Linked DNA regions of Drosophila melanogaster. The protein of the gene in region 2 binds, or shares a complex with, the protein of the main gene of each other region. Each region holds a gene or a part of one and is shown on either strand. Other genes may lie near its edges.

What was found.
Region 1: Nup54 (region 2) and xmas share a complex: the UniProt entries of both Drosophila melanogaster proteins name them as parts of the nuclear pore complex.
Region 3: Nup54 (region 2) and Mgtor share a complex: the UniProt entries of both Drosophila melanogaster proteins name them as parts of the nuclear pore complex.

What each region holds. Positions count from the first base shown.
Region 1 is NC_004354.4:17,157,322-17,161,074, forward strand, and holds the start of xmas (xmas), read right to left. Parts: upstream 1,986-3,753; 5' UTR 1,894-1,985; coding exon 1,850-1,893; intron 1,786-1,849; coding exon 252-1,785; intron 192-251; coding exon 1-191. UniProt on the Drosophila melanogaster protein: Involved in mRNA export and mRNA coupled transcription activation.
Region 2 is NT_033778.4:12,429,051-12,432,803, reverse strand, and holds the start of Nup54 (nucleoporin 54kD), read left to right. Parts: upstream 1-1,704; 5' UTR 1,705-1,867; coding exon 1,868-1,922; exon of another isoform or gene 1,923-1,944; coding exon of another isoform or gene 1,945-2,053; intron 2,054-2,114; coding exon of another isoform or gene 2,115-2,191; exon of another isoform or gene 2,192-2,209; intron 2,210-2,343; coding exon 2,344-2,850; intron 2,851-2,909; coding exon 2,910-3,276; intron 3,277-3,332; coding exon 3,333-3,753. Other genes in the region: DUBAI (deubiquitinating apoptotic inhibitor), read left to right, coding at 1-461; CG43204 (uncharacterized protein), read right to left, coding at 1,945-2,053, 2,115-2,191. UniProt on the Drosophila melanogaster protein: Component of the nuclear pore complex (NPC), a complex required for the trafficking across the nuclear envelope. Essential for the nuclear import of nuclear localization signal (NLS)-containing proteins in an importin alpha/importin beta-dependent manner.
Region 3 is NT_033778.4:11,850,575-11,854,327, reverse strand, and holds the start of Mgtor (megator), read right to left. Parts: upstream 1,712-3,753; 5' UTR 1,573-1,711; coding exon 1,422-1,572; intron 981-1,421; coding exon 1-980. Other genes in the region: Sln (silnoon), read right to left, coding at 2,600-2,981, 3,043-3,169, 3,246-3,753. UniProt on the Drosophila melanogaster protein: Component of the nuclear pore complex (NPC), a complex required for the trafficking across the nuclear envelope. Functions as a scaffolding element in the nuclear phase of the NPC.

The DNA.
Region 1 (3,753 bases), on a different chromosome or scaffold from region 2:
GGCATTTGTGGCTGCATCTCCTCTTGCTGCATGCCAGCCAGCTGATCCTTGGCCGTCCATGCAATGCTCTTAAGCATTCCATAATCGTCGAAGCTATTGTGCGGTCGGTGATTGAGGTAGAGGTCTCGTGGTGGTAAAGGTTCCCCACTGACGACTTCGCCCACGCTCTTCACGCGTTTCACTTCCACCAACTGGAAGTGGATAATAAAAATCAAATTAATAAAACAAAAAAAAGAAAACCATTTACTTACCTCATACTGTCGCGGCAGCTTGTACTCCGTCTCCACCGTGTGCATTCTGCTTAGCACAACTCTGCCCGCCTCGTTGATCTGCAGGCCATAGTGTTGGACAAAATCCGCCGCCTCCTGTTCGCTGGCAAAGCTCAGCAGCTCGGCGATGTAGCTGAGAGGCAGCGAAGACACCTCATCCTTCCGCGGAGACCTATACGCCTGGATCAGACGATGCAACCCCAGCACGCGCAGTCGCGTAAAGTAATTGACTAGGATGCAGGCACTCAGGTAGCTGGTATCCTTGTCAGCCAGCAGCTGAAAGAACCGCACAAAATTCGTGTCCTGCAGGGCCAAGTAGAACTGAATGGCTTGACGCACTTCGGGACAACTCTGCAGTTCCGCGGGCAGCTGACCGATGTCCCAGAGAAAGTTGGCATCGGCCAGATTGAGCAACACAATGTAGCCCCGGAATTCCGCCTCTTTGGGACATGGAACGCCCTTAATCCGCAGGTCATGGTACATGTACTTCAGAGTCTGCAGGCATTTGGTTAGATTCTCGGCGTTGATCTTGCTGTCAAAGACGCTGGGATCGGCGTCAACCAGACGGGCGGCGCAATGAATGTGAAACCGGGCGCACTGCTCCACCAGCTTCACAGCGCCCAGAGAGCATAGCTCCTGCTGGGTGATCTCCTTTCGGATGGACCTCGTGCGATCCCAAACGAAGTGGAACCAATCGCCCATATGGCTTTGCGGATCCTGGCGCTCGCTAATGTCCATGATCTCATGCATTAGATAGCTCATGGTCATGTGCAGGGCAGTCTCATTGCGCAGTTCATGCGGCAGTGGCGTCTCCTGGTCGGCACTGCTGCGCGAGTACTGCTTCAGGGCTCTTTCGTGACAGATTAGCTCATCGGAGCCCGGTTGTAGTTCATAGTAGGCTACCTGGCGCTGGAATTCTCTCAGCACGCGCTCCTTTTCCGGACACATATCGGCGCAGTGACCCTGGGTGGCACCGGACAGCTTGTGTTGCGTTCGGTTCAACCGGAGCAGCTTATCGCGGGCATCCAGCACGCTGAACTTCTCCTCGCTTGTATGGGCGGGTCTGCGCATCATGTTCTCAAGATCCCTGAGCTGGGCAGGCGTACGATCTCTGCTCACCGGCGCCGTTGCGGGCCCAACTGGTATGGCAGGCAGCATTGAACTGCCACCGCTACCACTGCTGCCATTTTGTGGTTTTTTTATCGGCTTGCCCGACCCATACTCATTGCGCCAGCCCGACTGCAGTGCACTCAACTCCGCCTGAATGTCAGGATCCACCCACTCCTCCGTTTTCTGTGCCGGCGCCGTCTCGTTATCAGCATAGGATATATCAAACAGGTGACCCTGAAAGCTGGCGCCATCGAGAAGCGCCCGCGCCGCCTCGTCCTCGCTGGCATAGCTTACGGTGCAGGTCATTCGCCGCGGACGCAGGACGAAGTTTACGAGGGTTCCAAAACGTCCAAAGTGCGAACGCGCCACATATTTGTCCAAAAATAGCTCCGGAATGTTTCTGCATCTGGGGATTCGTATGGAACTATAGTTGACATCGCTCTGCCTTTGATGAACGAACTTTTACTCACAATAATGTCTTGTAGTTGTAGCCGCCGGGACGGGGTTCTGCCATCGATCGAATATAGTTTAAGGTTTTTAGTTTCTTTTTTAGCTGAATGAGAGCGAATGTGTGCTTTGTTGTTACAATATTGCCGTCAAGCGATTGCCGGTAATCGATAACGCAAATCTGAAAATGGCGCGAAAAAAATACCGCAATGGCTATCCCACCCACACAATATCGTTCAGGTTTAATTGAAAATTTTAATGTTTTACATTCGAGATGAATGTATTTGCCTAATAAATAAAATGTTAACAGGAGTTGGTAAACATATATTCTTAGGAAATTAGGAAATGCTTGGGGCGTTCCTTAAACTGTTGAATGAAATCGAACATCTTCTTATATTATCTTATATATATATGAATATATATATAGGTGTAGCAATCTTTTTAAGTTCTTTTTATTCTCTTTTAAGCTCTCGATTCAAACTCCTCGATCTTGATAACACTATCTGTCGTTCTTAGGACTATACAATTAATCCTATCGAAATTGGTTGTTCCTAGTATTTTATATTTATACATAGCTTACATAAGAAATATTTTCATCTTTACACTTTAATATTTTAAGACGATTAATTACCTCTTAATCAATATCTCTATTTAATAGGCTGACTTATATAAAGCAATGCAAATTCAATAAAACTTATTGCAGAATTAGATGGCATTTAGCCCAATCCCTGATTTTAAAATAAGCGGGAGATAACGAGCAGTAGTGTGACCGCCCAGTAAAGTATAACCAAATACCGCGAAGAAGCCAAGCTGCTGTTCCGATAGTATCGATGAGCCTGCCATCCCCAGAATTTTGGTCATTTGTTGTTGCTCGCCAGGGCGAATTCGAACTCGAAGCGCAGTAATCAACGCGCTGCTCGTGGATTTTTTTTGCATTTTTTTGAGTTCAAATAGTTCGTTAATAAGAGTGGCGGTCAACGATACTATTCCACTTGCAATCGAAATATGAATAGTTGAAAGTGATAAACAACAAGAAAGAAGCGACGCCAACGGGCGAAAAAGGAGATAACCGAAAACGAAAAACACGACAAAAGCAACGTTAAAAGAGAGTAACAGAAAAGATATAAAAACGATGATCGAACCGTAAATTTAAAACCATGCAATCTACAGCGCATAATATATAATAATTTGACCAAAACAAATGCCAAGTTTGCGAGCGAGAGCGAAGAACGTTAAAAAAAGAAGTAAATAAATGATCTTGGCCCGCTGTTTGTTGTTCTTGTTATTATGGTTGCCGTTGTTGTAACTCGTTTTTTTTAATGCGCGCGTGTATGAATCACACAAACACAACAAAACAAACAATAACAACGATGCCTTACGGTGAAATATGCTAAGTAAATAGCAAAAGAGAGTTCCAGTTTCCAGAGAGCGACAGAGAGGGAGAGCGCGCGAGAGCGACTACAAGTACATACTGGAAAGCGATCCCGATCCTTTTTCCAGGCACGCAGCCATCTCGCTCGCACCCATGCCGCCCTAGACCAACTTTTGTTGCAGCTGCCTAACAACCAACAATACAGCAACAACAAGCGCACTGTGCACGCGAAAGGAGCAACAAGGATGGCGATAGCTGGAAAGCGACGACGATGATGATGATGCGGTCGTAACAACAACAGCAACAAGAACAACAAAAAGCTGCTGCAGGCAGACGAGCATAGCGTTAAAAAAAAGTAGCTGCATACAAAATAGTAATAGGAAAAAATCCGAAAAATTCGAGAAAAAAATAAGTTAAAGAAACGATCGCCCAATTTAATCAAGTGCATATATGTGTGTGCAAAATAAAAAGTGCATTGCAGCAGTCAAAAATACATACTTATTATCGCAGATCGAAGACGATAATAGTTATTGTTAACACGAAAAGTACGAAATG
Region 2 (3,753 bases):
TCGCGGCGGATCAAGCCAAGAATTGGTACAAGTTCAACGATAACGTGGTTACCCACTCCAAGCCGGAGGAGATGCACAATCTCACTTCGCCCAACACGCCCTACATCCTGTTCTACAAGATGTGCGGCCACTCCAATGAGTCTAATTCGGTTACGGCCAGCTGCAGTTCGAGTATGGTATCGGGCTCAAATGACCAGGTGGTCTCGGTGCCACTGTCGCCGCCTCTGAAGCTGGAGGAGTTGCCACGCCGACTTCGCGACTACGTAAGAAAGGACAACCATGTTTACAACGAAGAGTTGAAGATGCAACGCTTTAAGCGTGGCAACAGCGGTCACGGCAATGCGTTTGTCAGCCGGCACAACTTTGATGGCGATGGTGACGAGGACGACAAGGCGCCGCCGCCGCCCGGAGGATGTGGAGGCAATGGACTGGGCATGAACATCAACCGCTTCGTCTTCTGAGAAAGCGACAGCCAGGATAGCGAGCACACCGGAGGCCACTAGAACATATACTTGTCTACTTTATGAAACACGCGCATACTAATCGAAATGTTACATACATATATATATAGCACGTTCACAACCAATCGAGATATATGCGCCTACGTATATCGAAGTGTATGAGAAACGCGCTTACCGATCGCTTGTTCGCTACCTCCTTGAGTTGTTGTCGATGTTTTCTAAATTGTTTCTTCCTTTTCTCCTTGATCCTTCGGCCCGTTGCCCCAAAAATCATTATACTCATCCACTCATACGAACGCAAACTATTATTGTATTTCCATTTACAAAATTGTTATAATTTTTTTGTTTTTGTTAACACAAACCTAGTTGTAGAACGTGCATATATGCGAACACAAACATATTTAATTATAAAAATTAAAAAAAAAAAAAAACAATAGAATTAGCCAGAAATAGGAGCGATATACTTGAATCCGAAGACCACTAACTTCCAAAACACTAAACCAGAAATAATGTCTGCACCCTAGTTTTTAACGCACAGCTCGAAATTAAATCATATCTCGAGTTGCAATCGAACTAGCAAGAAGCTACAAAACAAGATAATCGCGGCATTGACTTGTATAGATCGAGATCGTTTATAGATCGGGCTATAACCCTCGGATCGTATTATTAGTTTCACTGTTAATTTTAGCAAATTTCAAAAAATTTGCGCATGTGCGACACGAATTTGTAATTGATATATATAAATGTATCTCTTTGGATCTGGTGAGCAGAGGTTGCGATGAATTTTGAACGTTATTGCAATTAAATTGGAATAATTTCAAGGAAATTTGTATATGGTGTATGTCTATTGATAACCAAAATCTATACTATGCTATGCTATAAGTGTATCAATAAAGAAAAGAACAAGCCCAAAGAGTGTTTAATTATTAGAGTCACGAAAGAGTTTAATGTGAAAACAACAAAAATAGTATCCATTCATGGAAGTTACTATATCAAAAAGAAAAGCAATGATCAGAAAGGAGGATATTATATTCAGTTCAAACATTAGAGAGGAGGCGTAAACTAGAATTAAAAACTTGACAGGATTATTGAAGTGGCGAATTGATTTTCTTGCCGCCAAATTTCAAATTATAGCGTACTAATAATCAAAAGTCGGGCCTAAGACTATCGATAATTTAGACCGCGCGGCAGTGTTACCAAATTAATAAGGGAAATTCAAGTGTTGTTGTCAGCAAGGGTGAGAGCCCATTTACAATCTGGTAACACTGCTAGAAAGCGCCAAAATTTTACGTTTATTAGGATTAAGACTAATTTTATTACAATAAAATAGAATTGTACAAATTCCGGCCCCTAGGAAAGGCAACCCAAACTGTGCGGCAAAGTAACGTCCTTGAGAATACCGCATCATGTCGTTCTTCGGATCCAACACGTCGCTGGGAGCAACAAGCACGCCGGCCAAAAGTGAGTTTCCGTAAACAAGACCTCATGCCCTTTTCTCCAAATATTTGTGGGGTCCATTTCCACTTGGTGGAGGCTTCAGCAGCTTCTTGGCGTCCTGCAGGCTGTGGATGCGGATGTCTTTGGGATCTATGCTGGATGTGGGACGGGCTACATGGTGTCAGTGTTCTTATGTGGCCAGACAAAGATGCTCACCCCTTCTTGTGGACCACATAGGCGACGTATCCCACAAAACCTAGCAGGAGGATCAGCAATATAAAAACCAGAGCCATTTTCCACGACCAGCAGGCGACCAGAGCTTGAAGCAAACTAAGGGCAGCTTCTGTAGTATTTTGGAACCCGAAATCTCAGATAAGAATCCAAGGCAGAAGCATAGTTTTCAAAACACTGACCCATTTCTGGTCTTCTTATCTCTTTTGTTCAGCAACCGGTGGCCTCTTCGGATCGCCGTTTGGAGGCACAGCTGCAACCAGCCAGCCAGCACCCGCTTTCGGAGCACAGGCCACATCGACTCCGGCTTTTGGCGCCCAACCGGCGACTTCTGCCTTCGGAGCAGGTTCCGCCTTTGGAGCAACCGCTGCAGCCCCGGCTTTTGGAGCCGCCACAGGAACTTCTGCCTTTGGCGGCTCCGCCTTTGGCAGTACTCCGGCATTTGGTGCGGCGACAACCACAACTGCGGGCACGGGTTTGGGAGGAGGCGGTTTCGGCGGATTTGGAGCAGCTCCGGCAACAAGTCAGGCCGGTCTGTTCGGCGCTCCAGCGACTAGTGCAGCACCACCAGCTTTTAGCGGATTCGGCCAACAGGCAGCTGCGAGTACAGCGCCAGCAAGTGGATTTTCAGGCTTTGGCACAACCACAACGTCGGCACCTGCTTTTGGTGGCTTTGGCACCAGCCAGTCCACTGGCTTTGGGGGCGGAGCCTTCGGATCCAGTAAGTTAAATAAGCCCATTTGTCTTTCTGTGGTATTCCTAACCTGGTTTATGTTTCAGCGTTCGGAAAACCAGCGAATACAACAGTTACGCCGGGATTTGGTGGATTCGGAGGCACCAGTTTTATGCTTGGACAGCCGCAACAGCAGCCAGCGCCCATATCGGCTGACGAGGCGTTTGCCCAATCCATTCTGAATGTATCCATTTTCGGGGATGAACGGGACAAAATAGTGGCCAAATGGAACTACTTGCAGGCTACGTGGGGCACTGGGAAAATGTTTTACTCCCAGAGTGCGGCACCGGTAGACATTACGCCGGAGAACGTGATGTGCCGGTTCAAGGCCATAGGCTACAGTCGTATGCCGGGCAAGGATAACAAGTTGGGACTGGTGGCTCTTAACTTCTGCAGAGAACTCTCAGCTGTCAAGTAAGTCTTAGTGCTTGTCTACATCATGGCATAGGTATTAATTCATTTTATTTTAGGCCACACCAGCAACAAGTGATTCAAACGCTTCACAGTTTATTCGGCAGCAAGCCCAACATGCTTGTTCACATAGATTCCATCAAGGAGTTGGAGAACAAAAAGTGCCAAATTGTTATTTATGTCGAGGAGAAACTTCAACATGCTCCCAACGAAAGCAAGCGTATACTTGCCACCGAACTCTCAAACTACCTTAATCAGGCGACGCTGAAACCACAGCTCAATAATCTAGGTGTTGTGGAGGCTTTGGCTCTGGTATTACCCGACGAAGATCAATTGAGGGAGTACCTTGAAAATCCACCCCGCGGCGTGGATCCGCGCATGTGGCGTCAGGCCAATTCCGACAATCCAGATCCAACTTTATATATACCAGTGCCCATGGTGGGCTTTAACGACTTAAAGTGGCGCGTTAAGTGTCAGGAA
Region 3 (3,753 bases), 580 kb from region 2:
CACAGCCGCACTGGGAGCCAACTGGCATATGGCGCTTTCCAAATTACTTTCCCGGGCCTGTTTTAGCAAATCGTTGGCACTTGCTAGCTCCTGTTCCATAGCCTGAATCTTCTTATTTTGCTCGTCCAACTCAGCGCTGTGCTTTTGCTTCATGGTTTCCATTTGCTCCGTCAACTGGGCGCACTGCTCTTCGGCCTCCTCTAACAAACGTTTAATTTCGGAGATGCCCTGTAGGAGTTCCTCCCGTTGGATCAGATGATCGGATTCGGTGCTCTTAAAGATTTCAAAAAGCTTCTCTTTGGCATCAAGTTCCTTTTTCAGCTTCCCCACATACTCTTCCGTGGCCTGGTTCTGCTTGAAGGCGGTGTCGTTTTGCATTTCAATCTTGCTGGTTAGTTCCCCGATGGTCTTGACGGCCTGTTCGTACTGTTCCTGCATCAGCTTTAGCGATTCGGTCTTTTCTTTAAGGCAAGACTGTAGCTGCATGGTGTTTATTGTGTGCTCCCGTCGGATGTTCTGTAACTCGGCGTTGCTTTTGTTCAGATCTCCGCTGATTAACAAAATCTCCTTGTGCAGCATATCGCGTTCGCTTTCCATGCGGTTCTCTTTGAGCTCCAGAGCCACTTCCTTACTTTGAATTTCGTCCACGCGAGCAATGGCTTCGCACTTGGCAGCAATCGCGCTGCTCAGCTGCTGCTGGTAGGTGTGCAGATCCTGCTTCAATCGTTCCAGCTCCGCTTGTTGGCGCTCGATTACCTTCATCATCGAATCGCGTTCTTCAACTACCGACGCCTTTTCCTTGCGCAACTGTGATATAGTTTGCTCGCCTTTGGCGATCGTGTCCATTAGGTTAACTCGTTCCGAAGACATCTGATCTAGATGAGTGCGCAGCTCGTTTACATTTAACTCAAAGCTGGTAAATTTTACTAGATAGTCCTCCATTTTGTTCTCCAGCTCTTCCTTTTTTTGCTCGGCTTCGGCTGTGAAAAGGGCAAAAATAAATAATCTTCTTAACTGGATTTAAGTAACCACAAAGTATTTGGATTAAAATGAATACACAGAAATTCCCTGAAGATTTCAAACTCGGACTAATCAACTGTTTTGGTGGGAAAATGTCCGGCCAGTGTTACCACACCGGTGAGGTGAAAATTAATAAGGAAAATAATGTTGCTGCAAGCAGCCATTGTTTTTAATTGCAACAACCCGGAATTTTATATTTAAATTTCTATACAAAAAATATGTAAATGGCGCAAGAGTGTTTACCACGCTAGAAACCATACAGTCGCGGATTGCTTATTACAAGAAGCGGTATCTGAGCCGGTAAACGCCGCAAAGTTGGAGGTAAAAGCATACGCATGCAAATAAAGGGTTATTTGCAAAATATGGCGCATTTTAGTATATATACAAATATAAAAACTTACCCAACCGATTGGCGGCCGCACGGTTCTTGCAGTACTCATCTGAGAAATTGTTGATGTACTCCGACAATTTCTTCTGGACGTCTTCCGGCACGAGTTTCAACTCGTCGGGCTGAAGTATGTTGTTCAGAGTTTGTGGACCACTGAGATCCATGTTCGCAGTTGATCCTTGTCAAGCAGCGGTTAAATTTATATGGAGCGGTGCGAAGTTTACTTTCTTACTTTTTACTTTACTTTAGTCTTAATTTTTTGCGAATTGTGCACAAAGTCGCTTTAGGGACGCGAAAAAATGAACGTCAATGCAGTGGAGATGGAACAATATCGATATTTTTCGGTACTATCGATTCGAGTATATTATTCTCACTGTTTCAACAGCGTTATAACAGCCTATTCACAGCCTAATAAAACAAAATGTTTTTCTTTAAAAAGAGATAAATTCATTCATAAAAAAAATTTTTTAAACGTGGTTGAAAAATCCGTTTTTATTACGAATAAAAAAAGAAAGGACTTTATTTAATAACATAAACGAATGCAAAACCCAAACCAAGCGAAATCATTCCCTTTAATTCCATAAAACGCGATTAACCTTTTGATTTCGTGTTTATTTGGTAATTGTCTTTATGGGTAAATGTCTCACAACAACTATTTTAATTCTAGGGTAATGTAATGTGATGTTCTCCATTCAAGCCTCCCTTCTGTCTAAAGCCACTTAATTTTTCCTGCACAAAGTTTAGTCCTTTCCGATATGGATGTGCGAACCTACAACTATAGTCGGCCTATATAACCATCTAGTCGGGCATTGATCGTAGTTATCATATTATAAAGTTATATACGGGTATTTGTAGTTCATGTCTTTTAAACTCAGTTCTTTTTGCGCAACATTTGGTGCTCAGTTGTTGGTTGTTTAGGTTGTTTGGTTTCTTCGTTTGAATATCATCATCTTACACATCCTTTTGCTGTTGCTCAACGGAAGGATAACAAGCGATTGGGTGCGGGTGGGCATGGGGATTGATTAAGATACAAAGATACGGATGAGAACGTACGGATAGTAGTAATAGTAACTGGTAGAATCAGCAATATCGGTGAGGCATTCGAACTCTGAAACTCAGGAACTCAACTAGTATTTGATCGCTACTAAAACACTATTAACATATGGGGCAACCAACGAATCCGAATCATTTCTAGGCCTCCTCGCACTCCTCCTCCTCGCGCTGAACAAACAACCGATGGTTGCGGGCCTCCAGGATGGACCACACAATCAGCGGAGTGGTCCCGAGCACCATGCAGGATCCCATGCAGTAGAAGCATATCTCGTAGTCTCCGGAAAGGTCTCGCATCAGTCCTGCCAGCGGAGGCACCGATATGGCCCCGATGCTCTGGAACATCCTCACCAGCCCGTAGCTCGAGCTGATCCTGTCCGTGCCAAAGACGTCCGCAAGGAGGACCGGCATAAGTACATACCAGCTACCCAGGCAAAGTCCGTAGACAGCGGCCGATAGACCCACCAAAACCAGAGTCTTGGCGAAGGGAATTGTGAGCACGGCACATCCGGCGCCCAAAATGCTGTCGATATAGGGAAATGTGATTAGTTTGGATCGAAAAATAAACCTTATCTGGTACTCACCACAAGGTGTAGGTCTTCTTGCGATCGAATAGCTGCAGGTCGCACAGCCAGCCAAGTCCAAGGCGCCCAATTAAATCTAGGACCGCGCTGATGGCCACCAGGTATCCCGCCTCACTTTTATTGTATCCTAAAGATGAACCAAGTTTATAATATTTAAAATCGTACGCCGAAAGAATATACTTTGAACATTTTAAATAGTATACCTATTGAAATAACGTGGGCGGGCAGATAGTACAACATGTAGGGACAGCCGACGGACATCAAGGTGACGGATAGGCACATCAGGATAAAGCTCGGGTCCTGCAGCAGACTGATGTCCAGGTACATCTCGATGCGCTCGCAGCAAGTGCGTGGTCCCCGCTCTTCGTCGTCATCGTCATCCTCATCGGCGGCAAGGTGGCCGTCGCCATCGATAATGGACTCCACCAGCTGGGAGTCTAGAATGCCGAGCTCCGCCTGCTCCACCGGCTGCTGCTTGAGATCACTGAGGTTGCTAACCGGAGTGGGTATCTCCATGCTCTTGCTGAGTCCGCGACTGACCACACTCGGCGGCGAAAGAGGCTTCTCCAAGTGGGCTTGTATCTTGGATATCACCTCGTCGTTGGCAAAGACATTGCGCCGACGACGACTTCCGCGATTGGAGTCCGTGCCGGAGTGCTTGCGATAGACCCAAGTGGAGTCCGTGCTCAGATCTTCGACGGAGTGCAGCAA